Linked DNA regions of Lonchura striata. The main gene of each other region encodes a partner of the protein of the gene in region 3 in a complex. Links are inferred from orthologs where the notes say so. Each region holds a gene or a part of one and is shown on either strand. Other genes may lie near its edges. The genes, in order: DRC8, DRC9, DRC5 and DRC10.

What was found.
Region 1: DRC5 (region 3) and DRC8 share a complex: the UniProt entries of both Homo sapiens proteins name them as parts of the nexin-dynein regulatory complex. The link is inferred for Lonchura striata from reciprocal best matches to the Homo sapiens genes DRC5 and DRC8.
Region 2: DRC5 (region 3) and DRC9 share a complex: the UniProt entries of both Homo sapiens proteins name them as parts of the nexin-dynein regulatory complex. The link is inferred for Lonchura striata from reciprocal best matches to the Homo sapiens genes DRC5 and DRC9.
Region 4: DRC5 (region 3) and DRC10 share a complex: the UniProt entries of both Homo sapiens proteins name them as parts of the nexin-dynein regulatory complex. The link is inferred for Lonchura striata from reciprocal best matches to the Homo sapiens genes DRC5 and DRC10.

What each region holds. Positions count from the first base shown.
Region 1 is NC_134605.1:31,772,294-31,780,112, forward strand, and holds the start of DRC8 (dynein regulatory complex protein 8), read left to right. Parts: upstream 1-4,811; 5' UTR 4,812-5,020; coding exon 5,021-5,045; intron 5,046-5,171; exon of another isoform or gene 5,172-5,216; coding exon of another isoform or gene 5,217-5,241; intron 5,242-7,819. UniProt on the Homo sapiens protein: Component of the nexin-dynein regulatory complex (N-DRC), a key regulator of ciliary/flagellar motility which maintains the alignment and integrity of the distal axoneme and regulates microtubule sliding in motile axonemes.
Region 2 is NC_134612.1:17,894,480-17,902,422, reverse strand, and holds the start of DRC9 (dynein regulatory complex protein 9), read left to right. Parts: upstream 1-4,927; coding exon 4,928-4,950; intron 4,951-7,111; exon of another isoform or gene 7,112-7,146; intron 7,147-7,943. Other genes in the region: RPL35A (large ribosomal subunit protein eL33), read right to left, coding at 1,206-1,229, 2,049-2,193, 2,868-3,020, 4,290-4,300. UniProt on the Homo sapiens protein: Component of the nexin-dynein regulatory complex (N-DRC), a key regulator of ciliary/flagellar motility which maintains the alignment and integrity of the distal axoneme and regulates microtubule sliding in motile axonemes.
Region 3 is NC_134605.1:29,952,854-29,960,265, forward strand, and holds the start of DRC5 (dynein regulatory complex subunit 5), read left to right. Parts: upstream 1-4,412; 5' UTR 4,413-4,605; intron 4,606-7,412. UniProt on the Homo sapiens protein: Component of the nexin-dynein regulatory complex (N-DRC) a key regulator of ciliary/flagellar motility which maintains the alignment and integrity of the distal axoneme and regulates microtubule sliding in motile axonemes.
Region 4 is NC_134620.1:2,573,137-2,580,733, reverse strand, and holds the start of DRC10 (dynein regulatory complex protein 10), read left to right. Parts: upstream 1-4,595; 5' UTR 4,596-5,660; coding exon 5,661-6,248; intron 6,249-7,463; coding exon 7,464-7,597. UniProt on the Homo sapiens protein: Component of the nexin-dynein regulatory complex (N-DRC), a key regulator of ciliary/flagellar motility which maintains the alignment and integrity of the distal axoneme and regulates microtubule sliding in motile axonemes.

The DNA.
Region 1 (7,819 bases), about 1.8 Mb from region 3:
GATCCTGGCTTCACTTCCAGATATAATTAATGGTAATAAAGTCTGAAGGTTAAAATATAGGGATCTCTAGGGCCATTTCTGTGCCTGGGTTGGACGGGGAACAGTATCCTGGCACTTAGACATAAAAGAAAGAACTTTTTTCTGTTGCAGGTCTTTAGGCATAGTCCCAGAGGCCGAGCACTGCCAGCAGCTCCTTGACATTGAAGAATATTGCTGCAGTAAAGAAATGCTTCCTTTCTCCTAGCAACTCATTTTTAATGTGTGTTCAGTCACTTTTCTTCAAGTGCAGCTTTGTTGAAGCTGGACAGGAGGAGCTAAAGATCCATAGGATTGTAGCTGTTCGTGAGCAGTAAGAGATATTTGCCAGGACAGTTCCAAAGCCATCCCATGGTCTGAGAAGGGTTTGAGATGCTGCTATTATCAGCAGCCTTCAAACCTGATTTTCCCTTTCTTCCTTCAGTGTTTTACTTATGGACTCAGAAAGCCTCTGAGCTTTTTCCCTCCAAAAAAACATCTAACCCTTCCTGCCTTCCCCTCTATTTCTTCCTCTCTTCTAATTGCAGGGTCCATCTTCCTGGATTGCCGCTGTACTAATCTGAATCCCCCTGGCTTCCCCTGCCCGGCAGAGGCACAGTCAGCAGCCGGGGGTCACCCCCCTGGATCTCGAGGAGAGTCGGGGAGCGGCTGAGGCAAAAAGTTTCACTGTCTGCCTTGTTTGGGGGAGTCGACTCAAGGCTGGGGAGACAGTTTCAGTTTTAATCCAGGCTCCGGGGAGCTCGGAGCTGCAGAGCATTGTGCAGCCAAAAGTGGCCTCGAGGCTTTCCCAACATCTTAAAGACCGGGGCGGTAACAAGGGGAAGGGAACGCCCATTGACCAATGGGGGGATTTGGGGGCGTGGACGGTGAAAGGATAGACAGATACAAAAACCAATGGGGGAAACTTAAGGGAGGGACCCCGGACCCTCATCCAATCCCACGATGCCCAGGGTAGAAGATTCGGGAAGAATGGGATGGGGAGCCGAGTGATGGACAGGGTACCAGGGAGGGGACGGGGAAGTGACCGAGCATTTTCAGGGAGATTGGCACTGAGGGAAAGGCAGGAAAACAAAATAAAACACTGGATATGCTGATCAAGATGCTTGTCAGATCCTTTTCTGGGTGTCTTAAGAGGACAGAACACTATTCACTTTTTGATGGATTGTATTTTTACTACCTCTGTGACTCATATTTGCACTCAGTGAATGGCAGAGCCAGCACAAGGTAGAAGGAAGATGTGCAGCCAGCAGGAGGGAAGGAAGGGCTAGACTTGGATCCCTCCCTTTTAGCACTGGTGAACTCTGTATACAGTGTCAAGGAATCATACATACGCTGACATTTTATTTAAGAGGTCAGATTTTGGGCTGCTAGGTTTATTACCTGTATAAAAAGTACAGCAAATTATGCCAATTTATGCACTTTTATGTACAATTTATGAACCTTTTGCTGTTTTGTAGGTGAGAACAGGAATAACAATTTTTTTGAAAGAAAGCAAAATTATGACAGATAAGGTTAATATGAATATACCAGCAGCTTGGAAGAGGTCAGGAAATAATGGAGGGCACGTCTGTATATCTGTCTCTGCCTGCTCTGTTAGGCTTCTCTTCATCTGCTCCAAGCATGGGATCAAAGCCTGCAGTTACAAAGAGAACAAGCCGGAGGAGAAACTGTCTTCCCCTCCTACACATGAAACGAGGTAGTGCTCTCATGTAATTTACCTAAATTCTGTAGGGAAAGATACAGTATAGGCGAGGAATGACAGAGTCTTTTTCTCATTTTTATCTGGTTACTGTGTATCATTTGCGTGAACAGCTAGTGTTTAGCTAATACTCTGTTTTGAAGAGTCTGTTTCTGAGTCACTGGAGTCCACTGCTCATCCCAGGGGAAGAGTGGAATGAAGGTACACTTGGGTCATTCATGTCACATTGGTGAAAAAGGGTACAGTGACATGGAAATGCCTGCTGAACAGCACAGCTGTACCCCTTTAGCTGCAGAGGAACTATAGGTAAGAGTCCTGCCAGAAAATCATAATTACCCACCTACTTTCTCTGTGAAGGATAAATGAGTAGGCTTCTTTGTGCCTTCACTTACATGATCCTCAAGGACCCACAGAGGGTGTCCTATAGTGAAGATGTTTGGCAAATGTTTGGAGCAAAGATGTGCTGAGATGCTTGCAGCCCTGAAGCCATGAGGGGATACAGCTTTGTAGCTTTTTGTTATTATACCTCCTTGAACTGCTCTCTCTTAATGTCACTTCTTCCATTTTAGACCTGTTTTTTTTTTTTTTTTTTTTTTTTTTTTTTTTTTTTTTTTTTTTTCTGAATAACATTTCTGAACATATGCATGGAAAATATGCAAAATGTGTGATAGGACCCTGATAGCTGAGAAGAATGTATGGGATGAAATTAGGAGTGGAGGTAAGGGAACCTTATGTCTATGAGACTTCAGTGGATTCACGCTTTAAATCAATGATGCTGGATTATTTTATAATTTTCCTGAGATATCTTCTGACATTTTTAAAATGAAGAATCACAATTTTAAAAGGGTATGTTCTCTTCAGAGGAGCTCTGTAAAGATCTTGCATGCAGCAGCTGATATTTCAAGCTGTTGAATTAGTAGTTCTGGGTTTCATTTTGTACTTGTCTGTGCCAAAATGTGATTAGTTGTTTCAGCCCACTCATACCCTTGGTTTGAGGTATCTGTGCATTAAGTTAAAAGGGAAACAGCTATATGGTTCAGGTCCATATATGAGGTATTTGATCTGCATTATAATTGTTAACATTTTTTCCCTACACAGATTTTTCAAGATACATTGCCAGGAAATTTTAAAGCAGTGAGTTCTCATTTTGAACTGCTTTCCCACTCAGTATTTTGTTCTGCTTCTGGAGACAGGAAAGACACCAAAGCCTGATGTGCTAGGAATTGGGAGAATAAGGATGGTTGACTGCAAACTACTGGGAAAAAAAAGGAAACTCCAGGCTAGAGTGGACAATGCAAATGAAGCACTTTGATTTACAGTAATTGTCCTGAGTGGAATCTCAACAGCACAGGCAGGACAGTGCAAAATGCTGTTTGTTGAAATTTGTATGAGCTCTGAGACAGTGAAGATTCTGCAGCTAGGCTAAAGTTATAAAACTTAACAAGTTTGATATGAACATCCAGGGTTTGAGCAGTTCTATACTTCCAACAACACCTTCCCCAAGGAGCTATTCTAACAGCTCATGAGGGCCAGTCAGTGGCTGCAACAGGACATAGATGTTGTGATGTAAATGACATGTCATAGCTGTGGTACACTTCATGATTTCCCCTTTCTTCATCAGCATTTACACACTGCTTTCTTACCATCCCTCTTGGAGGAAACAAAGATTAGTGCCTGTCAAAGAGGAAGGAGTTGTGAGGAAAGCCAAGTGCAAGCCCTGGAGAAATTGCTGGGAAGATGTTAGAGGTGGATGCCCAAGTGCAGTTACTGTCTTACCATGTCACAGTTGCAGTGACTCACTTCCATTCAAAATCTACTATGAACATGCAATAATCTCAATAAATATGCAATATGCAATATTGTATTTATTTTAAAACTAAGAGTTTTTCATATTTTGGGCATGGATTTGTCATGAAAACTCAAACAACAGGAACAGGATTTTATGAAGGTTTTTTTAGGGTTGTGTATTAAATACTTTGAATTAGTGTCGCATTTGTAGAAGAGCTATAAGTATCCTATGATGAATGATCTGGAAAATAATAAAAGAAATCTAATGCTGGGTACAGTATTCAAGAACATGAAATTCTACATTTGAGATAGGTGAAGAAAGAGATAAGAGAGGTCCATCCTTGCCAAAACAATGTAGTTTGCACTTTTCTTCAGCTTCAAACATGTGACTGACTCACCATCATAGGTGTATAATCAGGAAAGACAAGTTTTCTTTGTGGAGTGGTTAAAGGAATAAGAAATAGGACCCCTGTAAGACTGAAAGATAAAGGTTTTTTTCTTCTGCTGCTGCATCCTCTAAATTAGTCTGCTATGCTATTCTCTATAAAATTTCTGTTAGCAATTTGAGAGGAAACAAATCTGTACTCCTGTAGTCAAACATGTAGTTTAAAATATTTAGTTACTTTAATAAACTGCTCAAGTCGGTAGGTAACCTTTCAGAGGGATCAACTTTGTTAGAGAGCATAATCAGCTGTTTTCCCAACAGAATAAAGATGTATTGTCTTGGGTATCTATTATATCCTCTTTACTCTGAGCCATGTTCAATAAAAAATGCAAAAATAAGTGGCTGAAAGGCAAATAGCAAATGTTAAAATATTATTAAAAAGTGATCGTTTTTATAAACAAAGAAGCCCTATTTGTGCTCCATGTGTTTTTGTGAATTTCAGGCTTCCATGAATATTGAGAACATCATTAACTCTTTGTTTGAGAGGTGAAATTGAGTGTGTGAGGAGGAGTCATCCATGTGGGCTTTGCAAAACTGAACACCTGACAAACAAGCACCTGCTGTAGTGAGGACAGGGTTTTAGCTCTAGGAATTTAATAAATATTTATTTTGTAGGAATATATGGTTGCATCTTGCCAGAATATTAATTTTTGTATTTTTTTCTACTTTCACAGTTGTTTTAGAGTCAGAAGAACCAGGCATCGCAAGCCTGTCTGCTAAAACTCACAGCTAAATTTAAACCGCAGAGTTTTATTTAATATCACTAAGACAGAATATTTTAGCTGTTTTGGCGTGACGGCATTTAGAATAAAACGTTCTTTCACTTTCTAAAGCTCAGACGCAAGGAAATCTCCGCAATCGCTGGGGAAAGCTGTATTTTTAAGAGAAACGGGAGTCCTTTGCCGCTGGTTGAGGGGCTGGCTGGATCGCTGTCTGCAAGGGCGGCGGGCGCGGAACGGGGGCTCGGACACGTTCCCCCCGCTCAGCCCGGCGGTGCGAGGAGAGGGCCCGGCCCGGCCGCGGCGCCATGGCGACAGCGCGGCGCCGCGGCCATGGCGGAGCAGGAGAAGGGCAGGGGTAAGGCCGGGCCCGGGCTCCCCCATGGCGGAGCAGGAGAAGGGCAGGGGTAAGGCCGGGCCCGGGCTCCCCCATGGCGGAGCAGGAGAAGGGCAGGGGTAAGGCCGGGCCCGGGCTCCCCCATGGCGGAGCAGGAGAAGGGCAGGGGTAAGGCCGGGCCCGGGCTCCCCCATGGCGGAGCAGGAGAAGGGCAGGGGTAAGGCCGGGCCCGGGCTCCCCCATGGCGGGTGTGCGGACAGACCGCGGGCCGGGCGCCACCGAGTGAGGCCCGCCCGCCTCAGGGCTCGGGCGAGGGAGGGGCGGCGGCGCGGGGAGCTCTGGCCGGAGCTGGTGCTGGGGGACGCTCACCGCGGGACACAGACACGGATATACATACTGAAGTGCACACGCACACACACACGCACGCACACGCACACACACGGGTTTGTGCGTGTGTGTGTTTGTATTTCGGCCTTCGACATCTTCACGAGGGGAAGAGGAGGGGCAGACACCGAGACCTTTCCTCTGGCGTCCAGTGGCAGGAGCCGAGGGAATGGCCTGAGGTTGTGCCAAGGTAGGTTTAGGTTGTGTATCACGAGGAGGTTTAGGTTGTGTATCACGAGGAGGTTTAGGTTGTGTATCACGAGAATCCTTCATGCAGAGAGTGGCTGGGCACTGGAACAGGCTCCTCAGTGAAGTGGTCACAGCACCAGCCTGACAGAGCTCAAGAAGTGCTGGGACAGCACTCTCAGGCCCTTGGTGTGATCCTGCGCAGGGCCAGGAGTTGGACTCGATGATCCTTACTCCTTCCTGCTCAGCTCATTCTGTGATTTTAGATATGTATGTGCACCTATCTGTTCGCACACATTGTGCATGAGTGTGTGTATACGTGTATATGAAAGAACACACACGTGCATATTTACACAAACAAGATGCATTCCCTGACTTCCCATCCCATTCAGGGTGGCCACACCACTGCCTCTTGCCTCAGGGTAGGGGCTACTCTGCAGCACTCCCTGCCACAGGGGTGCCACAGCTGCCTCTTGGTGCTGGCAGCCTTGTGGTGTTGCTGCCACCACACAGGGTGTGCCCAAGCTGGATGGTGACAAGGCTGACTGCCTTGTCATGGCATGGGGTGGCTGCCAGGGCAGCTGGGATGGCTGAACCTGCTGCTGGCTGATTGTGGCCCTTCGCAGTAGTTTCTGGATGCATTGGGCACTCTCTGACAGAAAAAAGTAATCTGTGCTGCTGATAGCACCATGGCTTATTTCTAGAGGCCACTGTGTTCTACTTTAGGGAGTGTTGCCAGAAATTCTATTTTATAGGCTAGAGGTAATTCCTTCTTCAAGGATATTCAAGTATCATTTCAAGGAAAACATATTTTCTGTAAAGCCCACAATATTGTTACTTCTGAAATCCATCCTTTCTGTAACTAAACTTGTGTGTGTTGCAGTAGTTTGCAAAGTCTGAACATTGTAGTTGAGATAATTAATCAATGGAATATTTAATATTTTTAGGAAACAATGCATGTTGCAGAAAAGTCTTGTATAAACAGTTGCCGTGGATGGTACTAAATGACTAATTTAATTTTTGTAGAAGTATTTCTAGCTGCACTTTGCAACATAGATATCTTGAAGAAAGAAATTAAACAGTAAGATGTAGCTTCCTTGATCACTGCTCTTAAAGTGTTTTTTAAAATATTTTTAAGAATTTTTGTTTAATCTTGTGGAAGCCTGTCTTTTACATCTTTCTAGTGGTGCAAAGGCACCTGAGGCACAGTACTGGCAGAGGAGGATAGAAATGATAGCCTAGAAGTCTGCTGAATCATCTGAGATGAGGGAAGTAGTACTGGGAAGCCTGGCTCCTTATATTTTGGGTTCCCATATGTATAATATTGAGATTTTTACCATTTTGTCGAGCCACAGCCAGAAACTCTAGGAGAAGGAAGGTCATGGGTTTTTGATTGCTCAGTTAAAGACTTTTAATGCCTTTCTTTTTGTAGTTTCAAAATGAGAATACTTTGTAAGAAGTTTCATTATTATATTACTAAAGACAGACTCCCTTGAGGGTTTTTTATGCTTCATGTTTTTTAACATTCTATAAAACACTAATGTCAGTAGAGCATCAAATGTCATCTTCTAGAGGAGAATTGTAGCGTCATCCTGAATGACCTTGACCCATAAACTCCATCCCTGGCCCAACCAGTGGATCATGGGAAGTGACATACTGGACTTTTTCTTATCTGTAGGATGAGGACAAAAACTTGTGTCACTCAGACAGTAACTTCTGTCACTCATGAGAATCCCAGCCTGCTATTAGGTAAAACAGTTGTTTATTGCCTTACAAAGGTGCCTCATTACTGTAAACATGGCTGAGGAGAGCTAACAGTCAGTGTCTCATTAACAGAAGCAATCCCTTAGGATTAAGTCGCTTATACCATTTCAGAATTGCTATTAGCCTTCCTGCTGATAGCAGTTAGAGGGTTAATTAGGATTCTCCAATGCTGGATTCACACATCGATTGTGCTTCCCTTCAGCAAGTACTCCACATCTATGCAAGCTGCAGGTTTAACTTTATTATGCTTCAAAATAATACCATTAGTTGTATTGTCAAATAATTAGTCCTTAGGGTATTCCGCTCGGTGCTTTGCAGAACTACAATTCCACCAGCTTTCCTGGAAAGGTTTCCCTTAGGTCCTATTATTTCCAAGTTCAGTCTTCGTCAAAGTTGAAATGCCTGCTTAAATGTTTTACAGATATACATGATGTACACAAGGAAAAACAGTGAGAGGCCAA
Region 2 (7,943 bases), on a different chromosome or scaffold from region 3:
TTCATCAGCAAACCAACTATATGGTAGTGACCACAGGCCTACAAACCTGCACTTACAATTAACTTTGCTCATTATATTTCCTCCTCCTTCCTCTGTAACACCTAAAGCTGGAAATCCCATCCATCCTCTTTTGAATCCAATGTGTCCAATGTATTGGTAGTTGTGGAAGACTAAAAGCCCTACCTGACATGGCCCAATATCCCATAAGCTGCAATTTTTCTACACAGGTTGAAAAAATGCAATTTTCCATAGCAAAGGCTCTGAAGGACAGCATTGGCAGCAGGCTTAGGTCTTTTAAGTCCAGCAAAATAATTTTTATACCAGAGCTGAGTAGCTGGGGCAAGTTTTTTAATTCCAGTTCAAAGTTTTGATTTACCCAATAGTGTATTCTGCACACACATCTACTCCACCTCTTTCAGAAGGAAGAGGATTAGATGTGAAATACCAGCCCACTACAGGAGAATTGCAAAGCCAACACTCAGAGGGCTCCATGACACACACTGGCAGCAGGGCCAGGCAGGGCGAAGGAAGCTCTCATGCCCTGGGAAGGAGGGACTGCACTGGAGTGGGCTCAGGATGCGGTTGAGCCAACAGACTCACCTGCCTGACTGACTAGGGATGCACTGAAAATGATGGAACTACTTGGTCTATGTGGAACTCCTCTCACAGCATATCCACAGGTCATTTTGGGACTGTGACATCAGCAGCAACCATGACAACTTGTACCTGCCTCAAACCTCCCTTTAAACTACCCAGTATTTTGGGGGGATTTTCAGAGATAAACTGAGCCTTGCATGTCATGACTGTAAATTCATTTTTCACCACCTTACTGTTCAGCAAAACTAAAAGGAAGTGCTGTGAAGATGCTCACTGCCCTACATGACATGCTGGGACAAGGCTGGCCAAGAAAACAGCGTTAACACTTGGGCACCACAGAGCCGTGCAATGAAAATGTGTTTAAATTATTTACACAAAGCAGACGCTACAGGCACACGTGCTGGCCAGGTACAGGTGGGGTCATTATCAGGGATTCTACCAGAACTACTGATGTGAGAGAGGCTTTGCACCTGCCAGGATTTAGTGTCTCTGTCTGTGCTGTCAACTCTGATACTACTGAGAAAGAGGTCTCTCAAAATTTGTGGAGGCAATCAAACCAGAAATATACAAAAGTTAAACAGAGTCTCCATTTTATTTTGAATAAAAATTTAGATCCTAGATGGATACAGCATCTGTAAAACACAAAACCAGACAGAATCACGTTAGAAATCTTGTATTCAAACATGAGTTTTGCAGTTACAATCTAGACCATGAATCTCTTCAACTGCTATTAAAGCAATCCCCAGTTTATACAGAAGAGGTGTGAGAATGACTTGCAGGAGCACTTCACTGGTGACACAGACACCATGGCAACTAGCCCTCCTGTGCACCAACAAGAGTTCCCATGGCTCTGGATTTCAGGAATTATCTGTGCTGCTCCTACTGTGCTTTTTCTAAGGCACAGGAGAAAGACAGAAAGGACCACACCCCTCTTGTATTCCTTTTGACAACATCACTACGAAAATATTACATCACAACTCTAGGTGAGAGACCTAAACGGATAGTCCCACTGAAGCCCTGTGGCTAAAACACCAACAGTGGGAACAGGTGGAAGTGGCCATGACAGGACAGCACTGCTCTCAGTTAAAACATTTGGGAAGTAAGAGAAAAATCAAACAGGTAAAGGAGTAGAAGGGTGCAAAAATATGCAGAACAGATGGTGGAAAAGAAATCAAGGCAGCTTTAGACAGGAGCCGAGTCCTGGAACTTTAAGAGCCTTTCCACACAACCTGAGCAAGCACACAAACCCCTGATAACAAGACAAACCCCCTCAGCACAGGAAGGCAGCAAAAAGCCTCTCTAGGCTCCAAAACAAAGTCACTGAGCCATGCTGAACACCCAACAGCAACAGAACAAAAGCAAAGTTCAAATGTTCCCTCATATTATAAGGAATTTAGAAGGCACCCAAAAACTGCCAATAAGTATCTTGTTGCTAAACCAAACCCACTTACCACCCGGATTCTGTGTCCAATGGCCTTGGCAGGCAGGTTGGAGCGGAACTTGGCACGCACCATGCCACTGTTGCCATGCGCGCGGGTCACCTTCCCCCAGATCACGCGTGTCCTGTTGGGTTTGCCTCCGGGGGTTACCGTGTTGCTGGGGAAAAGGAGCCCAAGAACAGCTCAGCAGGGCAGTCACAGCTCTGCTGTACCCAGCACTGACAATGTGGTCTCTCTACAGCACTTCAATAATTTAGCTCCACAGCCATCTTTAACTAGACCAATGTCCACTTTTTTTTACTTGTGATATTTTCCCAGCCTGGGATTTTCACTGTACCTTTCAAAGGTGTAATTACAGCTTGACAACTATTAACAGCTTACAAAGCTCAAAAATTTGGAAAACACTTTTGCTAACATACCAGTTTGATCAATTTTATTCAAGATAATTCTGCACACTAACAACAGCAGTCAAGAAAAAAAAAGGAAGTGGAAGCAATAAGCAGCTGTTCCCAAGGTGTCTATCAATGACAGCAGAGCAGAAGTGACAGACAGTGCTCAAACATGGGCACATGAAAGTCAGAACACAAATTCACCCAGGCTTCACAAAATCACTCTACTGTTTAAGTAACTGAACAGTTCAAAGTATTTAACACAAATTCACCCACTTCAATTTACTCCATCACCCAACTTTCAGTTTTTGTCAGTCTTAGGCAAAACTTGTTTCTCATCCCATTTGCTCTCTTACATATCATGTAGCATCATGATCTCCTAGCATTTACAAAACCAACACAAGCATTGGCTAGTTCAGCACAAGAATACAACATTACTTACTTTTTAGCTTTGTACACATAGGCACACCTCTTGCCCAGGTAGAAGTCTGTCTCCTGACGGGCATAAACACCTTCAATTTTCAGAAGGGCCGTGTGCTCCCGCTGGTTTCGGAGGCCACGTTTGTAGCCAGCAAAAATGGCCTTGCACCACAACCTAAAGACATGGAAAATACCTGAAAATTATAACTCACTTCCAAATAACAAAAATAAAAACTAATCACAGGCTCTTTCAGCAGGAACTAATTCCACACCAGTAGAAATCAGCAGAGGAAATAGCTGACTTTTACAAATCACTGCAAATACTTACATCAATGAACAGAGCAAAGCTGAGTATGTGGAACTTGAAGTATTTATGAAAATATTACACTTTTTGCTTGTCATAAACTCCTGGCACTACAATACTGGCTTCATACTAAGATTCAAATACTCCAGCATTAGCAGATATTATTTCTAAATGTCTACTAACACTGATGAGTAAACATTACTTTTTTTTCTACACACCACATGAAATCTCCCGTGTTGCAGTAACTGCTATAGAAGGTATGAACTGACCCTGATTTGTAGCCTCAAAGGAGGAGCCAGAGCAACAGCCTGACATCCACTGGGCACAGACATTACACAAACTCCTCAGCAATTCTTCAGGACACCTGCACTGCCCATGTAAGGTCATTACAGGACCTGTCCCACACACCGAGCAGCCACAGCACATCTGGCCCAGGGGCATCCAGCACCTGCTCTGGGATACAGCAGGATCCAACTGGGATATCCAGTTCTACCTGCCACACGTGCAACAGGACAAACTCCACACATTAATGTTAGGACATAAAGCTGGGATTCACAGAACCATCGAAGGGTTTGGGTTGGAAGGGACATTTAAGACCATCCAGTTTTGACTCTCCTACATAGGCAGGAACACCTCACGCTAGATCAGGCTCAAGAGTCCCACCCAGCTCGACCTTGAACACTTCCAGGGATGGGGCAGCCACAGCTTCTCCAGGCAACTCCACAGTATTCACATTTAATCCCTTCACTTACGAACTCAATCCCTACATCCTTTAAGAAAATTCGGCAGCACAACAGAAAATTTACCCATGGGAAAAACATGTTGCTCCCTTTACTCAAGGAAACAGTTTATGTCAAAGCTCCACTGCACACTGGAGATTAACAAACACTGAGCTAACAAACCCACAAATTTCACACTGATATTTACTGACAGGCCAAGGAGAGCGTGGCACACCGTAACAGCAACTAGAACCAGCTCAAGAGATTTCAGAGCAGGGACACACAACTGCGGGCGTTCCACAGGGCCCAGCAGGACGCTGGGCAGCGCAACACCGCTCACTGCCCTGCTGAGCAAACGCTCCCAGGAACGCTCCTACAGCGCTGCAGCAGCGAGCCGAGCGCCAGCCCGGCCCTCACTCACCTCCCGGCCATGGCGTCCTCCCGCAGAGCCGGTCCCGGCAGGCCTGGAAACGACACACAGCCGTGAGCCGCGGGCCGGCATCTCCACCCGGCCCGGCCAGCGAGACCCCGAGCACCCGGGGGCTGCCCGGCAGCCTCCGCTCCGCACCTCAGCAGCCGCCTCAGCCCCGCTCCAGCCCAGGGCCCCAACCCGCCACTGGGACCATCCGCCGCGCATCGGCGCCATCCCGCCTTGTCCCCGCCCCAAACCGCGCCGTCCGCCGCGCCCCGGGAGCCCCGCGCCCGCCGGCGGCCCTACGGCGGGGGCACCGCCCCCGGCCCTGCTCCCGGCCCCGCTCCCGGCCGCGGCCCCGCTCCGCCTCACCCCCAGCGCCCCAAGATGGCGGCGAAAGAGAGCCGCGCCCCGCTGCCTGCCGGGAAATGCGCGGCCAGGACCCGAGCGGGCGGCCCGAGCGCTGCCGGAGTGAGCGGCACCGGGTTGAGGAAGGTACCGCCCGGCCCCTGTCCGTGTCCCCTGTCCCGTGTCCCGTGTCCCGTGTCCGCGATCCCCGCAAGAGCGATCCCAGGAGGGGCGGCCACAGCCCCGCTGCACAGGCACCCGCGGGCCATCCCCGCGAGGCCCCGAGCGCGGTGGTTGCCATGGAGACGAGCGGCGCGTCCCGGTGAGGGCGGGGCCGAGACCGAGACCGGGACCGGGATCGGGATCGGGACCGGGATCGGGACCGGGACCGGGACCGGGATCGGGACCGGGATCGGGATCGGGATCGGGACCGGGATCGGGACCGGGACCGGGATCGGGACCGGGATCGGGGGAAATAAGGGCAGATCCCGGTGAGAGGTTGAGGGGAGCCCGGGTCGGTCTAGGCAGGGCGAATGAAAACGGGCCGCGGAGCCCGAAGAGAGGCAGCGCGGGAGGAGAGAGCAGCCCTTGGTGCTCGGGGCGGCTCCCGGCCGGCCCTGCCCGTCCGATGTTCTCACCCTGAGTCAATTAATCATCTCGGCATTTAGTTTACTTCTGATATCGCCTTGGAGGCAGAAAACATATTTCGACACTGAAATCCCTGTAACCAAGTCTCACATTCCTTTATTTTACTAAATAAGATCTGGAAGCATGTACTTACCCATTTGCTCACGTCAGGGCTATTCAATCCCGATTTCTGTCACTTCCCTCACACTGCCAGAAATTCTGGTGCATTTTCAGAGCGCTTGAAGTGATTTAAGGGAAGGAAGGTGAAGGGAAGGGAAACCTTAAGGAATCTTGGTGGTCCCTTTCCCTTTCCCTTTCCCTTTCCCTTTCCCTTTCCCTTTCCCTTTCCCTTTCCCTTTCCCTTTCCCTTTCCTTCTCTTTTCATCCCTTTCTTTCCCTTCCCCTTCCTCTCTCCTTTCCTTGCCCTTCCCCCCCCCCCCCCGCTTTTTTTTTTTTTTTTCCAAAATGAGCACCTTGCTGTCCTAATATTTCTAGCCGGAGGCAGAGCTGTGTAAGGTAAGGCCACACCTATTTTGCTTCCCAAGAGACTTTTCTTTGGTAAAAATGAAGTTGATTTCTGGCTCCGCTGCTGCTCCTGTGGATATTCAGAACCTCTCTTCGCCAGTCATTTGCCAAACAGACCTAAAGGAGATGTGACATTGCCAGCTATGCATTTTATCACTGGAATTCAATGAAGTATCTTCTGACTACAAGGAATGCTGCACAAAATGCTGCTTTTGAATCCACTTTCCTTTATCAGGCAGCAGGGTGGGAGAAATGTACATCCAGGACTCTCACACAGCAGAGGAAGTTGCAATCCCCAAAGGAACAGGAGACCAGACCTTTTATACACTTGCTTTAAAAATTATTACTTGATATGTTTTTCTTTCCCTTTATATCAGCAGGGAAAGAATGTCATCCAAAACTCATGGGGGAAGTTGAATCCTTCACATACTTTAAAAAAAATTATTAATAGAGTTTAATGAGGGAGTTCAGCAAACACAGCAATGCAGGGTGATGCCGTGGATGGTCTGAGGGGCACTGTGTTGGCACTAAAATCCACAGCAAGCAGCTCATATCTGTAGTGTTTGCTAATGCCCCAGACAGTGGTTTCCTTCTCAAGTCCAACTTAACATAAGCCCAGACCCCACTGGCTTGGCACAGGGATCTGCTGAGCAAGGATGTGAATGTAAGAGAAGATACACAGGAGGAGCAAAGCAGCAAAGGGGCTTTAGAGAAACATTCCAGCCGCCAGCTTTCTTGAAACATATTAATATCCTGAGTTAATTCTCTCCTGGTCAGAAGCTGCTGACAGAAAAGAGGAAAAGCTGTTGCATCCTCCTTTGTTTCCAAATAAGTCTCTTTTTCCTATGAGAGCTGCACATGTTATTTCTTCTTCCAAAAATCCTGCTGTAATCATGTCACAGCTATCTCCCAACACATCTTTTTTCATCATATTTTTAGCAGACTAGTTATATTTTATGACTCCACATGTAATAGATTATTCCTAGGTTGTTTAGATTCAAAATATGGATTATGGATTTCTGAAAAAGATAAAAATGAGTAAAGCATTGAAAAATATTTTATTAGTGCCTGTTGACTGGAGACACTGCCTGACTTTCTTGATGTAAAAATACTGCATCTCCACTTCTATAGCTGATTCCAAGGTTGACAAGAAAAGTGATGGATTTAGTGTATTATACAGATAATTTGCCTTTCTTTTTTTTTTTTTTTTTTGTTAATGCTTTTATCAGATTCCTGTCTCAAGCTGTTAAACTTTTTTTTTATAATTAAGATAAAAGAGAGAAAAAAATCTCAGAAGCAAAGGGATGAAATCACTTTCCTCTTCATTCTAGGTGACCATTAAAAGCCCTGCTCAGAGGAATTAGATGTAAGTGGTTACAAACAATACAAGTCTAGTGAACATACTGATAATATTCAGAATCACTACTTTGCTGTTATCTTTTTCTGCCATGATTTAATCAAGCTTCTTGAAATAAATTAGGGTGCCTCTACCATTACCTTGGCTGAAAGGCTGTTCTGTATTTTCCATTCAGGAGTTAGAAACCTCATCATAATTGCCTGGCTTAGGGGCGTTTACTCTCCTTTTACCCAGAGCAGTATTATCCTTTAACTTAAATACCTCTGTCTCTCCCTGGTATCTGCCCTTCCTGTGGATTTACTGGGAGCAATCCCTGTGCACTTTCTAATCCCATCCCCAGGGAGAGCCATGTCCTCTCTCAGCACATTTCAACATGTGTTGCATTAAACGACTTCCTGCAGCAGACAGGGACATCAGGAAATAAATGTGTGGAATCTGAGTTACATTTGTTTGTTTTACCTATTCTATACGAACAGACATCAAATAAACCTGCACTGAAAAGTGGTTCTTTTCTGCCAAGTGAAATTAACTTCACGGTCCAACTGTAAATTACAGATTTTCTTCAACAAAAACAACAAAAAAAAGGAGGAGGGCAAATTATAACAGCTTCAGAGAGGTTATAGCAAGTATGTATATTTTTAAACACTTGCTTGTGAAATATCACTGATTTCCAGTGATGCAGAGCACAGCTGCATCCAAACCTCTTTAATATTCATAGAATATGGCCATGTCTTATGCTAACAGGGAGTGCCTGATGTGTTTCCTTGGCATACTTGCAGGTTGGGCTGTAATATTTTGCAGGCTTA
Region 3 (7,412 bases):
AAATGGGAACCAGTAGGTGCCTGACCACAGATCACAGATCCTGCCTGCAGGAAGGTTTTTGATTCAGTCAAGAAAATATAGAGGCAAATAAACTGAAGTTCAGCTTGACAAATGGGGCAGCCTTTTACCTCTTGCCCTAATGCAAAATGGCAAAGGTCAGTGAAGGGAGGGGGTTCCCATGGTGGAAAGTGTTACCAGCTGCTAAGCTGAACCAAGTTTTCAGGGAGTGGTATAGTCCTTGAGGCACTGTGGCTGTCCAGATGGGTAGGACAGCACAGAGGTGGGGTTGTGAAGTGCAGCCTTACCAAGCACCTTAGACAAACACTAATGCAGAGGATATCCTGCCCCACAGCCAGAGTCTGGGATGTACAAGAAAGATTTAACATTTGCATCCATCTACTTGGAGGTAATTCCTAGGAGGCACAGCCTCCCAGTGGATGAAGAAAAACTCCTGCACTATTTATGCAGTATTTTTGAAGTAACGAGAATGAAGGAAACCTTCCTGCTTCAGAGTTCAAGCCAGAGGCGCAGTGGTGTGAGAACAAAACCATCTCACTTGTGCAGGTCATATCCTGATTAACCCTATGGCAGCTAGACTGTGCCCTGTGGAAGATGGGGACCAAGTCCAGGAATATTCTGGGACTGGTTTTGCACCAGCAAGAGAGGAAGGATACCCCTTTTCACAAATCTTGGTGTGATGCATGATGATGGGGATGCCAATCATAGCAACAGGACAGATTCCCTGATTATTTGTTCCTCTGTTTTGTTTCTTTAATTAAACTCAAAGAGAGAGCATCCAAGCCAGCTGCACTCTCAGCCTGTGGTGGGATCATTTACCTCACCCCCCACAGGGCACCTGTGTGCCACTGGAAAGGCCAGGCTGAAGGGAGCTGCTGCAGCCTGTCAGCTGGCAGGCTCTGCCTCCTGCCCTGTGCCCAGCATCCACAAGCAAGGCCTGTGGGATGGCATGGGGAGATGAGCCTCCACTCCTGCTGTCAAGCTCTGCTCCCCACAGAGCCAGTGCAGGCAGCAGATGGGCTGGTCTCTCCCTGCCAGTGCAGGCAAGGAGGCTGGAAGGTAGGAGGTAGAACCAAATCCAGTCTCATTAAGGGTAATTACCATTCATCCCAGGAAGCAGTAGGAAAAAGAGCCCACGTTCTCCCCATCTATTAATAGCTGTCAGCAGCTGCATGGTTCCTGCCGCAACCCAGGGAGAGCAGAAAGCTTTGGGAAAGCAGCAGCACAGAGAGCATTCTGCTCCCCCATCCTTCAGCACTGGCTGTACAGGGGCAATTTTCCTCCTTCCAGGATGTAATTTGTTTTGCTTCTTCCCCCAGGACTCCAGGAGCTGCTGGCTGCTTGTAAGCAGTGTTTTCCAGCAAAAGCTGCAGGGAGCCAGCCAGAGGAGGGCCTGGAAATAGAGCTTTGGAGCCATTCCCTGCTCCTCAGCATCCTCAATTTTCTGAGTCGTGCCCAGTTTTGGCAACTTTCAGTGCTCCTCATTGAAAGGGTAGAAGCCATTAATGAAAGAGGACTGCACTAGTGCCGAGGACAAACCTCGCTGGCTCATACCCTAATGAATCCCTTTGGTGTCAGAGGGACATCAAACAAGAGGCTCCTCTCCAGCCTGTCCTTCAGCTGTGTCCATGGTTCTTCCCCACGGAGACATGAACCACATCTGACAGATGGAGGTTGCCTCGCTGCAGGCATCAGCTAGAGAGGCTGCCCCACATGGAACACAGGACTCAAATGAAATGATATCCTGGACTGGTGTGGTGACTTCCAGCCATTGTGTTATGATGTGAGGACACTGCAGGCTGCAGGAGATGCACTAGCAGAACTGACCAGGAGGACACGTGGGGTTTTTTCACTCCTTCTACCTCCAGCTGCCACTGCATACAAACAGCTTGCTACTTGCTGCGGGCAGAAAGATCACCAGATGTGTTCCTGAAATCCCTGAAGAGACAGCTGGTGCTGGTGTAACTGGAGAGAAGGAGAGGGAGAGAGAGATTGAGAGGGAGAGGAGAAATGCTTGGCTGCAGGATGTGTTGGTGCCTGGGCAAAGCCAGGGAGGATCATGTTTCTAGTCCATCATGCTGGGACACTAAAAAAGGTTGTCGCCCTACAGCCACAGCTTTGTTTCCAGAACAGCACCTGAATCTTCACATTAGCAGCAGAAGATACCCTGTGGGATGTGTTCCTCCCACACAAGACACTGCAGGACCTGGCTCCTGTCCACTCTCTTTGTTGTGATACACTGTCCTCCAACTCCAGGCAAAGCTGGCAGAGCTGATTATGCACAACACCATCACAGGTGCTGTCTAGGGGAAATCTGAGACCTGGTAGCTGGAGGGATACAGAGGGCACCTGGAGTCTGCTGGTAGGACTTTCGTCACTAGGGCCAGGAAGCAGTACCTTCCTTCATCCTCATTCTCAACTGTCAACAGTGGGGATGGGAATGGAAATGGATGCAATATTTTACCCTGCATCCCTACTCCACAGAATTTAAGGAGCAACTGCCACTGCACACCCCACTGGGAACAGCACTAATGTCTACATTTCCCACTGGAAATAAATGCTAAGGTACAGAAGGAGTTAACACAGCTATTTTTTGGACTGCCACTACTTCTTTTCAGCATATGATCCAATATCTGATTGCATCTATTTTGACAACTGACTGCAATATTGAGCACTGTTGTCTCTGGGAATCAATGACTGGGTAGACACAGCTGAACTCCATTGGACTGTGAAGTCTCCAAAACATGACATTTGCATTATATTAGCCATTAGGTGGGCTGAAAACTTCAGTGTTGATGGCTTGCTGAAGGCTCAGCTCAGAAATTGATCATTGTTATGCAGGTAACTCAGGGGTGCTATTTCTGTGGATCTGGTTTGGCTATCTCCTTTGCAATTTAGGAGTCTGACCAAATGTATGCATGGAAATCAGTGCAAGAGAAAATATCCCTGGCTTTATGTTGCTCTCATTTCTGCTTTTCAAGGTCTCAAAAGCCCTGGAGATGTGTTCCCAGGAGTAATATGGTCAGTGTGAGGCCAGCATTTGTGAAGGGCTTTGCAAGCCTTCTGACTACCCCACTGTGCTGAACACCAGCTTGACTCACAGGCAGTGTCACTGTCTTCTGGGGAGCTGAGTGACAGAATCAGGCCACACCTAGAAAAAGAAGTACATTGCTGCCAAGGTCTAACTTTACATCTTTGAAATTCACTAAGGAAGCCTCAGGGTCTTGATTCTCTTTTTTTAAATCTATGCCTCTTTGCATTTATTGTTTTGTTGCTGAGCCTTTAGGGTGATCTGGGATCATGCTTTTAACATCTTCTTCATGACCAGGAGGTAAATTTTATATGAAAGTCAGCACAGCTTCCTAAAACTGCCAGCTATTATGGGACTTGCAGGACTATCATGAGAGCTGGCACCAGTGTTATGTATGCTCCCACAGGGCACAGGCTAGCTGCAGTCCTCTTGTGCCCAGTACATCAGCATTCCAAAGGAGTGAAAGAAAAACCTGTCTCAGGCTGGAAATGCCCTGGCAAATACTGCAACACTTAGATCTGAGAAATGGGAAAGAGGAGATGCATGTTTTCATCCCCTTGTTTACTCTTTATACTCCACAGCATGATGTGTGTCTTGATGAAGATTCTGGTCTTTCCCCACCTCTGTAGAGGATGCTTAACAGCAGAATGAAAAACGAACAGGTTGAGGTTTGCAGCAGATGGACCAAGATCTTGCCATCAGTGGAGTTCTCAGATTTGCTTTCCTCCCCCTCAGACCTGCCTGTGATGTCATTTTGCCCCAAAATATGAGGCCTTGAAGCAAGCCCACTTTGGGCACAGGCAGCGTACCTTTAGCCATACAAACATGCAAGGAAACGGGTATCTTGAGGATAGCGACGTATTCACCCTTTGAATACTGACTGGTACAAAACCATTTGCATTGCACCCCTTGCCCGGTTCTTTCCGTGATTGCCACAGCAGCTGCTGCTGTTGCCGCAAGGGTGTCCGGGACTTGGGCAAATGTTCCCTCCCCAGCACCCGTGGAGCGTGGTGGTGAGCTCACACATCTCCTCCGTGTGTGCCGAAGAGAGGGCTCCTCCTCACCACGGCACTCACTCTCAGCGGCCGCACGGGGCGGGGTGACGGGGGAGCGCCATCCCAAATCCCGTCCCTCTCCCTTCCTGCTGCTTCTCGCTGCCCCGCACGCCCTGGCAGCGGGCAGGCCCCGTGAGAGCGGCCGCGGGGCACCGCGCCTTGCGAGGGCTTGGCTCGGAGCCGGTCGCGAACCCTCAGCGCGACGGGCACGGGCTCCCCACGAGCCCCACGCGTGCCCGGCCGGGGGTCGCACCCGCGGGAGCCCCGCCCCAGCAACGGCCGCGTCCGTGGCGACAGCGGCGGCGGCGAGCGCAGGGGCCGGGCTGGTCCCGGTCCCGCTCCGTTCCCTGCTCCGCAGCAGCGGGACAGAGCCGGCAGCGGAATCCCCCGCGCCCAGGCGTCGAGAGGGACCCCGCGCGTCTCTCGCCCCGGTGCCGCTCGGCGTGGCCGGGGCTGGGGACGCCCAGCGCCCGTGACCGGGCCCTTCCCGGCGGCTCGCAGGTCTGACCCGCACCGAGGCGGCCGCGCCGATGCGTTCCCGTCCCTCCCGGGCTCTCCGGAGAGGAGATTGGCTGGCAGGAGGGAGCGCAGGGCCGGCATCCCGCGGAGCTGGGCTGGAGGCGCTGGCGGGGCCGCGGCGGTCAGCAGCACCCAGGCGTTCTCCTTGCCCCCCTGGGGAAGGGACCCCTCTCCGAGCCTCTGGGGCTGGCACGGCAGAGGGGCTGCGGTGGGCACTGCTCAGCTCCAAAAGGGCTTTTGTTTTTCTGAGATTAGGGCGGTGGCCCGTCACAGGTCATGCTGACAGAGATGCAGGAGCACAGTTTTGGCCCTTCACCGCCAGGATTACAGTGGAGACATTAACCAAATTCCCAAATGGCCAGCTGGCCTCACTCTGCCCAGTCTCCCGTTACAGACAAATTTCATTATATCTGAAGCTAAATAGATTTCTCATTTGGCACTTTTTTTTTTTTTTTTTTTTTTTTTTAACTCAGAGCCCATTGCAGGTTTAGGATTAGGATACTGTGTTGCAGGCCCAGACTTACCCTGCAACACAGTATCCTAATGCACATTTAGCATTAGCCTTTGAAAGTGCCACAGAGCATGGCAAGTCCCCACAGGTGTTGGTGGGAACAGCGGTGTTAGCCAGACTCAGGATGACTTGCCTGGACTACAGGTAAAGGCATTAAGGTCAGCACACCTGCAGAACAACTGGCATTTGCAGGGTGCTGCTGCAGTGGCATAAGAGCTTCCTCAATTAGTGGGCAGACAGAACTTCAGTGCAAATGCAATCTTGGCTGGGGCATAACCACCCTCAGAAATAATTTATCCTGCTCTTACAAACTCTCCAGTAAGCACAGTGTTTACTGTTGTTCCATTTCTTGGATCTCTGTAATTCTGGTAGGAGCATCAGCCAAAGGTCACTAGTTGCTGTGCAGGTCTTTTTGGTGTTTTTTTTTTGTTTGTTTGTTTTTTTGGTTTTTTTGTTTGTTTGTTTGTTTGTTTGTTTGTTGGGGTTTTTTTTGTTTGTTTTTTGGGTTTTTTTTGTTTGTTTTTTGGGTTTTTTTTTGGTTTTTTTTTTGGTCTCTCTGGGATTTGTTGTGAATGAAAAGAGCAAAAATCTTTTATTTCCAGATCAAGACAGGTTTAGCTGAATAACGTTTGTAAAGTATGTTAGTAGCAGCATAATTTGGTTGTGTGAGTAGATTTCTGTCAGTTCCTCCTGGGGAAGGGAAGTGTGATTTCCTTTACTTTTTTAAGAAGTTCAAGCATTATTTACTTTTCAGTCTAATCTGGGTGTTAAATGACAAAAACAGAAAATTTGCTACATGTCTCTGTTCATTCTGTATTGTCTAATAAAACCTTTTTAGGATAGGTGATTGATGTTTATGTAGAGTGGGTGGGAAGGAGCGTGCATTAACAGTGTTGACTTGGTTTATTGATAGTGAATTATGGCGCTACCTCTGTGTTTAAATACATGCTTAGCAAACCCAGCTCTGGAAAGTGGCTTAGAGTCTCATCTCTGGCTGGGTGAGGCTCCCACAGCTGAGGCAGAGGGGGTGAGCAGTGAAGGAGGCCCTTCCCTGGTAGTAAGGGCACCTGGCAGGTGTGTTCACCTCACTGGTGTGGTGGGAATGGATGTATTTGGAGCAGTGATTCAGGGTCAGACCTGGCACTACAGGCATGGGGTTCATTTGGATGCTTTGCAGCCTTGTTCCTGTTTGCTTTGTAGTGAATGGTAAGTGGGCATGGTGGAGTCAGCTGAGCTGACTTGCTCTGGGGCTCAGATCAAGGGAAAGCCTCTCAGCAGCCTGGGTAGCTCTGCCTCAGGGCAGATGTGTCTCCTGCCCAGACTCTTGGAGCCCATTTGACAGCCCTGCATGTGCCATGGGTTACCCACCCTCTGAAAATCAACCTGCCATCGGTAACCAGGCAATCCCATCATCTGCTGGAACAGACAGGAAATAATACTAGGCCACCAGTGCTGCACGGCTCTCCCCAACAGCTGGCTTTTAATGATTGTTTCCAAAAGGTCAGGAAAGCCATCAGAAGCTCCAATCAGCTGTGATTGGCCTGGGGAACAAAATGATACAGATGCTTTTTGAATAGGACAAAGGACCAAGCAAGGAGAAAATAATTTTCCCAGCCACCTCACTGCCTTCTAGCTGTGTTTTGCCCTTCCATGGAAGTCCGTCGAGCACCAGGAGTTGGGTCTCAGATGGGTCAGTGTGCTGTGGAGAATCAGGTCTCTTCTTTTCCCCTTGAAAGGTGGTCCATCATCATAGCACCTTCCTTAGGCACAAGGACCTTTGCAGGGAAAGAATTCCCAGTATTCTCACAGCTGCCTAACACTCATTCCTTCTCTTTCCACTTCCACCCTTCATCAGATCATGTTCCCTTTTTTATCAGCCTTTACCTTTGTCATCTGTACACTACTGCCTCCCAAGAAATCAGCTTCCCTGCCCTTGGCAACCTTCATCCTCCTGCTTTGGGCCAGAGAATGCCCTGCCACTGCCATCCCCACCCTTTCCTGACTATCCCTCTCAGGCTTGCCTCAAGTGCATTTGAAAAAGCTTTTGCTGACATATTTGCAGCATTAATCATTTGCTTCTCTCTTCTCTACTTCAGCATTTCACAGGTCTCCTCTCTTCCTTCTTTTGCAGCCCTTCCTCATATGCCTTTTGGAAGGGGAAGGAGCAGAGGGAGTAACACTAGCAAAGTCAGCTCCAAAGCTTTCAGGGAGAAGGAAGTGCTGGCAGATGGCAGAAGCACCATGAGCTGGGAAGGCAGAGGTGAAAGGCACAACCTTG
Region 4 (7,597 bases), on a different chromosome or scaffold from region 3:
AGTCTTGCTTTTTCAGAGTATTTAAGTATGTTCTTGTCCTCCTCCCACCTGTGATAAATCTGCCCTGCTTCCTTTCCTCTCCATGGACAGACCCTTCCTTCTTGATCTCAGTTTTTGCCTGCTGGGTTTGTCCAGGAAAATGAGGATTTGCCTGTTCACCAGATGAACTGGATGATCTTTAAGGTCCCTTCCAACCCAAACCATTCCATGATTCACTGTGACAGCTGCTGGACAGGAGAGACAGGGAACATCTCTGGTCGTGCAGGAACCAGTGCCAGGCTGGTGTCCACCTGCACCAGCTGGCTTGGTGACTGAAACCCAAGAGATGGATTAAGATGAACAAAAAAGGAATGCTGAAAAGCAAAGAGTGTCAGAAGTTTTTAGAGAAGAGCCTGGAGGTTGTCACCTAGGGGTGACCCATGCTGGCCACCCCTGGGGTTTTCTCTGTGGGAAGATGCTGTGGGGAAAGGAGTGGTTTGTAACCAAAGAGCACCACCGGGGAGTGGTGGTCCCCAGGTGGCTCCTGGCACGCAGCAGCACCCAGGGGGAGGGGGGGATGTGTTCTCGTCCTTGCCGTGGAGGCAGAGGGGCTGCAGGGCTCTAACAGAACTACTCTGTGTGGAGGGTACCGAGCTCAGCCCCTCTGAGCCCCTCCCAGTCCTCCCGTGCTGGGAGGAGCCTGTCACCAGCCTCTTCGGTCTCCCAGCTCGGTGCTGTCTTTGGTGCCAGCATTCCCATGGACAGCCAGCCCTGGCATGCAGCAGCAGCCTGGCATGAAGAGCCTCAAGCCTGGGTGATGCCTGTCCCCCTTTGCCCTCTCCTTGCCACCTCCCACTCGGCAGAGGCAGGAAGCAGCTGGCTTTCACCTGGGAGATGGAGGCTGTGAGGCTGTGACTTGCTGCAGACTCACGGCATCACAGAATCATTAAAGTTGGAAAAGCCCTCTGAGAGCAATCCAGCCATTCTCCCAGCACTGCCAAGGACACCACTGACCCCTGTCCCCAGCTGCCATATCCACATGGCTGCTGAATCCCTGCAGGGATGCGGATCCACCACTGCCCTGGGCAGCTGTGCCACCCTGACCACCCTTTCTTTCCATGAAAGAAATGTTCCCAAAATCCACCCTGAGCCTCCCCTGGCCCAGCCTGAGGCCGTTCCCTCTCCTCCTGTCCCTGTTCCCTGGAGCAGAGCCCGACCCCCCGGCTGTCCCCTCCTGTCAGGAGCTGTGCAGAGCCACAAGGTCCCCCCTGAGCCTCCTTTTCTCCAGGCTGAGCCCCTTCCCAGCTCCCTCAGCCTCTCCTGGGGCTCCAGCCCCTTCCCAGCTCCCTCAGCCTCTCCTGGGGCTCCAGCCCCTTCCCAGCTCTGTTCCCTGCCCTGGACACTCTCCAGCCCCTCCAGGCCTCTCTTGTCATAAAGGGCCCAGAACTGGACACAGGATTTGAGGTTTGGCCTCAGCAGACAGATTAGGACCAAACTCACACACTCTGGTCTCAGTGCCCTGACAGCCCCAGGGACATTTTCCTGTGCCACAGCTGCGTTCCTCTGCATTCCTGCTCCTGTCACCCAGCTCCAGCCTGCTGCACTCAGAGCCAACCCAGCACCTCCAACCCTCCCATTTTTCCTGTTGGGTCCTTTAGTTCAGAGCTTACACCAACCCCAGCACCCTTGTCCCTTTGTACTGCAGGGACTCCCTGGTTTCTCTGTGCCCTGCCTGGGCCTTCCTGACAGTCTCTGGGGGCCAGGGAAGTGCAAACTCCTTCCCAGCTGTTCAGGATACAGATGCCATCATCCCACTGACAGCATGACATGGGAATGAGGGAACAGCAGCCAAAGCTGCAGCAGGGATGTGGTCAGGGATCAGTTGTCCCAGTGGAGTCCTCCAGGGCTTGGTGTGATGCCAGAGCTCCATGCTGCCAGCAGAGCACAATGTAAGGCTACAGCCAAAGGACTGTGGCAAGACGGGACTGTCCTTGCAGTGACAGGATGGGGTGCTGTTGCCTGCAGCAAGGCTTCATTGTGTGCTTCTGCCCTTTCACTATCATTTCACAATCAGTTCAAATCATCCCCCTCCTCAATGTCCCTTCCCTGGTCTCACACAGGGATGGGTGGCAGCAGGAACAGGGAAATTAATTGGGCAAACCAGGCTGGGGTGGATCCTGGTTTTCCAAGCAGATGGACCATCCAGCTCCCACGCTCTGAGCTGTGCTTCCCTTTGCTGCAGAGGAGAGGGATACAACACCTGGAGAGGGGTTTGGGTGGTGGGCGAGGCCAGCTGGGGCCAGGGAAGTCTCTGGCCTTCAGGTATCTATCACAGAGTCCTGCTGTTGGAACACAGCTGGACTCAGTCTGTGGGGGACAGCGTGCCCAGGCTGTCCCAGGGGCTCCCGGCTCTCCCTTCCCTGCTCGGACATGCCCCACATAATTTGGATTCTTGGGTACCTCTGGCTCAGGCAGTGATGCAATCTTGTGGGCTTGAGTGCAGAGAATTGTTTGAGGATAGATCTGAGGTTGTTCTGCATCCTGGATGAGGTGGGATTGACGCAGGTTCGGTGATGCTTCATCCAGCTCCCAAAGTGACCCAGTTTTCTTCCTGGCTGAAGAGCTGCTGCTGGCCTGGAGCAGTGTGGAGCTGCAGGACGAGTCAAGGCTGCTCTGGACATGTGTCATCACCCCCATCTCCTCCTGCAAGACGGGAATGTCTTAATTACCCAGATCCAGGAGGGAGCAGCAGTGATCCAGTCTTCCCGACTTTAGAGGATGTTCGGATGTGACCCACGGCTCCACCCCTTTCCTTCCTCTTTCCCTGGATGTCACAAAGCCTTGCTGTCCCTTCAAGCAGGCTGTGCACACCAGACACAGGGGACTCTGGTGACAGTCACTGGCCAGTTGATGCCATCTCCAGCTCATGGCTGTCAGGAAGTCCAAGTCTGCACTTCTTGGAGAGCAGTAGCACATTTCAAACAAAGCAATCAGGACACTCCTCAACTTTGAAAAGACATTCTTTTTGTGATGGATTTAATTCCAAAATATCTGCAGCACATGTGGCAGCCTTTCAGGGAGGGTCAGGGATCCCTTCTGGAGGCCTTGTCAAGACAAGCAGCAGTTCTCCATGTCTCAAGGGCTGTTCTCTGTTATGTGATGTGCTCTGTGAGGACACATCCAACTGACAGCACACCCCTCTGGAGCCTCAGATCACAGCTCTGCTCTGCTCTCGGTCATAGCGCAGCCAGGAAATCACGGATCTTCTGCATTTAGATCCAGTGTGATCCCAGTTGCTGAATTAGAGCTTGAGAAGGTCTTCCTGGGCAGGTCAGTGCTTTTCCTGGAGGCTACGGGGCAGCCTGGCTCAGACTCACAGTTCCAGCTGCCCCTCCTTCCCACAGTGGGCTGGGCATGCCCCAGCTTGGGGTGGACCCAGACCCAGAGTCACTGTCACACTCAGTGCCATTCTTGATTCGAATCAGTCCTTTGGCTGAGCCACTCAGGGCAGAGGGAACCCACATGGAGGTGACTGCTCCAGGTAATAAGCCTGGAGGAAAATTACTTGGGGGGGCTGGAAATGGTGCCAGATGTGTCCAGGTGGGCAGGAAGGCCAAGTGTGCCCTCATCCATCCTCACCAGTGCCACACCAGAAGGCCCAGCCCTGGTGGTCCCACTACATCTCCCATCACCAGTCCCTCATTTGCTTTGTGTAGGGAAGCAGTTGGGAATGGGCGAGCGGAATTATTCCTGGACTTGGACACTCCTTGCACAGCAATAAAGGAGCTGCTCAGGCCAGGTAAGGCTGGGACCTGGGACAAGGCTGCCTGTGAGGGCATGGCCACCCCGCCGCCGTGGTGTCCTGCGAGGGACAGAGCATCGCTGCGAGCGTGGCCTGGAGTTCAGCATTTTGCCATGTTTCCTGCTGGAAACCAAACCCTCTTCTCCTGAGGGCATCCATGACACTGCCTGGGCTGAAGGTGAAACTTTTAGAGTTCACTTGAGTTAACGTAATGAATTAAGTATTTATATTCTAGCTTGTAGAGTTATGTGTTAAATTTTAACTTTTTACTTAAGAAACTTCTGACATGGTACAAAGGGCATAAGAAAATGCAATTTTCTGAAGCTTTATTCTGCCTATCACTTCAAAGGCACGGTGGAGCGCAGCATTCAAGGGCCATCATGTTCTTTGCCGACGTCAGCAAGTCACAGGTTAGCAATTAAGTCAGCCTGTACAATATCAGCATCTTCATCAGCTGAGGCTCATTATCACTTTTATGGCCCAGTAAAACCAGCCACATTAACAGCGCAGCTTAGGGGAACTCTGTTGTGTTCTAATGTTTCAAAACAACCCCTTAGGGGCTCCTGGACATACATTGGGCTGACCCGCGCGCGGCAGACGTGACCTCGGCAGGATAAAGTTTATTTTCGGGTTACTCGTCGTGCTCTCGGGAACACAGATCTGGGCAGCCCGGAGGGAAGGAGCCGCCCCCTCACGCCTCACAGACCCCGCCGGCGCCATGACAGACCCCGAGCCCTGCCAGTCACCGCCGCAGGGCTCCTCATTGGACAGCGGCACTGCCAATCAAACGACAGGGGGCGGGGCCTGCACGGCGCCGGGGAGGCCCCGCCCCCTCGCGTCGCCTGGCAACGGGAGGCGCAGACGGCGGGCTCGGGATCGGGACCGGGACCGGGACCGGGACCGGGACCGGGATCGGGATCGGGATCGGGATCGGAACTGAGTGCGCTGCAGGGGGTGGAGGACGCCTGGGGCCGGCATCCCCCAGTAACCGCCTCTTGAGACACCCCGTCCCACCGCGGGATGCTCAGGGCCGCTGGTCCCACAGATCCCCGGATCCTCCCGCACCGGTCCCCAGCCGCCCGCCCTCGCACGGGGGTCCTCCCCACCGGGAATCACCGCCCCGACCTCTGACTGTTCCCCAGTCTCTGGATCCTCCTGCTGCCCCACATCCACACCGGGGGACCCTTCATTCCCTGTTGGCCGCCTGCTACAGCTGTCCCCATCTCCTCCGTCCCTCCTCCTCTTGCCTCTGTCCCTGCCAGTCCTGCCAGATCCCCTCTCCCACCTCCTCCCTCTGACAGGGACAGGCCTAGAAGGGTAGAGGTTTCCCATAGAGATTTCCCACTGGGAACCCTACCCTTCCCTCCGGGGTGGCCCCAGGGCTCTCCAAACCCTCTCCACACCCCTCTGGGGACAGCAGAGCTGCAGTTTGTGCTGCTCTACCTCAGAAGCTGTTGGGCGCTTCCCCTCCCTCCCCACCCTTCAAAGCCAGGAATCCATCACCCCCTTCCCATGGGTGTTTGACAGCTGCTCTGGGACAGAGACCAGCTCTAATCCACAACTCCATGTCCTGACCCCCTACCCAGACTCAGAGAGAACATCAGGTTAATCTCAGACTCTCATGTTTTCCCAAATTACATCATTTCTCTAATGTTGTCACTATCTTTTCCTTTTAGAGAGAAAATCAAAGAAGGGCGACTGTGACAGCAGCAGCACAGGAACCTCCATTTTCTTCCAGAGTCTAACCTTGTGTAAGAGCTGCTGTGTCCTTTCTAGACCTCAGACCACCCAGACCACTAGTGTTTAACTGAATCCATGGCATCAGGGGATCCAGCTGCATTCCAAGTATCCTCATGAAACAAGAAGCCTTGGTGAAGGCATGGCAACTCCAAGGAAGGCAGGGATCCCATTAGGTTTCATGAAGGTGTTAGATCCACGCCAGCTAAAACCTGATAGCACGGAGACAGAAAGAATCCTAACTGTCTTGGATGAGGCCATTGTCAAGCTGGAGATCACCAGGTTGATCCCACAGATTACTGGCTCCCTGGAGAGGTATGCTGGGATGCTGGGACCTGAGATCACAAGCCGCCTTTTGGAGCACCAGAAGCTTTCAATGGAAATACAGCACCTGCTCACCAGCCCTGGAGATGAGAAGAGCATAAAAGCTGCAGAACAACGCCTGAAATGTTCCCTAAGAAACATCCTGAGGCTCTTCCTAGCCAACCCCTTGCTTTACCATGGGCTGAAATACGAAGTTCGGGTGAGAGAGGCACCAACTGATGTGTTTATCAAAGCCTTTAAGGAGTTCCGGGATTTCACACTCGAGAGGCTCCTGACCACTCCTGATGAAGAGAAGGAAAAGATGCAATTCATGAAAGACATTTCCCTCCAGGTTGAGAAAAACACAGAAACAATCTCAGCTCTACAGGGAGAGCTGGCAGGAGTCATCCAGACTCGAGATGAGGAGGTATGACCTTGTGGGAATGTGTTTTCCAACCAAGTGGAAACTTGCTTTTTACTGGAGCAAAACCTTGCTAACTATAAACCAATCCCTTTATTGCAGTTCCTAAAGAGCAAGTTCCAGAAATCCTTTCTAAACCAGATTAAAATTTAAAAATAATATTTTTGTTGTAAAATATAAGAAAAATGCTTATTTCATGCTTGATTATTTTTTTTTAAACTCGAATTTGGCATGTTTTGAACCTGTTGTCACCAGCCAACTTAAACAATGTAAGTGCCTGAGTTCCAGAGGAGTGGCAGGACAGGCACAAACTGCTGTGGTGGTGGTATCCTGGCAGGGTGACAATGCCAGCTGCTTCATTCCCTGCTGCTGAAAGAATGAAAAATCATTACTGGGAGAGATTTCTCTGATTAAAATCCATTTTTAATATTTGCTCTGTCTTCACTCTTGCTTAAAGCCAACATTTCTGTGACTCCAGACTCTTAACAGCTGCCTTGGAGCATTTGTGATTAATCAGTGATTATACAAATTACATTAATCTTTAATTTTATCTGCAGCTGAGGTACAGATAATTGACTGGGCACTTCCCAGGCACTTTCTCAACTTGTGTGCCAAGCCAAGAGCTTCTGATAACAATCCTTTGTTTTCTACCTGGGTTTTTTTTTCTCCTCCCTGCAAGAGGGGTTGGCTGAGAAGATTTTGCCCTGCACTCACTGCTGGCAGAACCAAGGACCTGCTTTCCCCTTTCCCTCTGCTGCTTGGAGTTCTGGGGATCGAGATTTTTATGTGCAATTTGGCAGCTTGTTTGGGACATGGTGAATAAATCTGTTTCACTGATCCCAGCTTGGGATTTCCCTCCCTGAGCTGTATCCCCCAGACAGTCACTCAGAGCCTGATCCAGCTCTTGAGGGAGCCACAGAGCTACTCCAGGGAAACTGTTTTGGCTGCTCCTCAGGTCGCTGTGCCAGTGGGGCTTGGGATGGTTTGTTCACTCTGTGCCTTTACCAACAGGTTCCCAGAGGAGCCAGGTTTCCAAAGCTCCAGTATGAATCTGGAGCTTCACTCCCTCAGCCAGCAGTGGCAGGGCCTTGGCGCTACCTGAGCCAGCCCCTGAAGGTCCCTTCTTGGATCTCCTCCAGCTTTGCAATGTTTTTTCTTCTCCTGTCCACCTTATGCCTCAGGGGCGTTTCCCAAAGGTAATCCTCTTGTTTTCCGGACTAGGTTAGCAGGAAGGACAAAACAATCGAAAACCTCAAAACCAGCATGGAAGATATGGCCAAGAACTGCAAGGCTAACATCCAGCTGATCATGAAGGAAGGGGAAAAGCAGCAAAAAGAGGATAAGGAAGCCTCCCA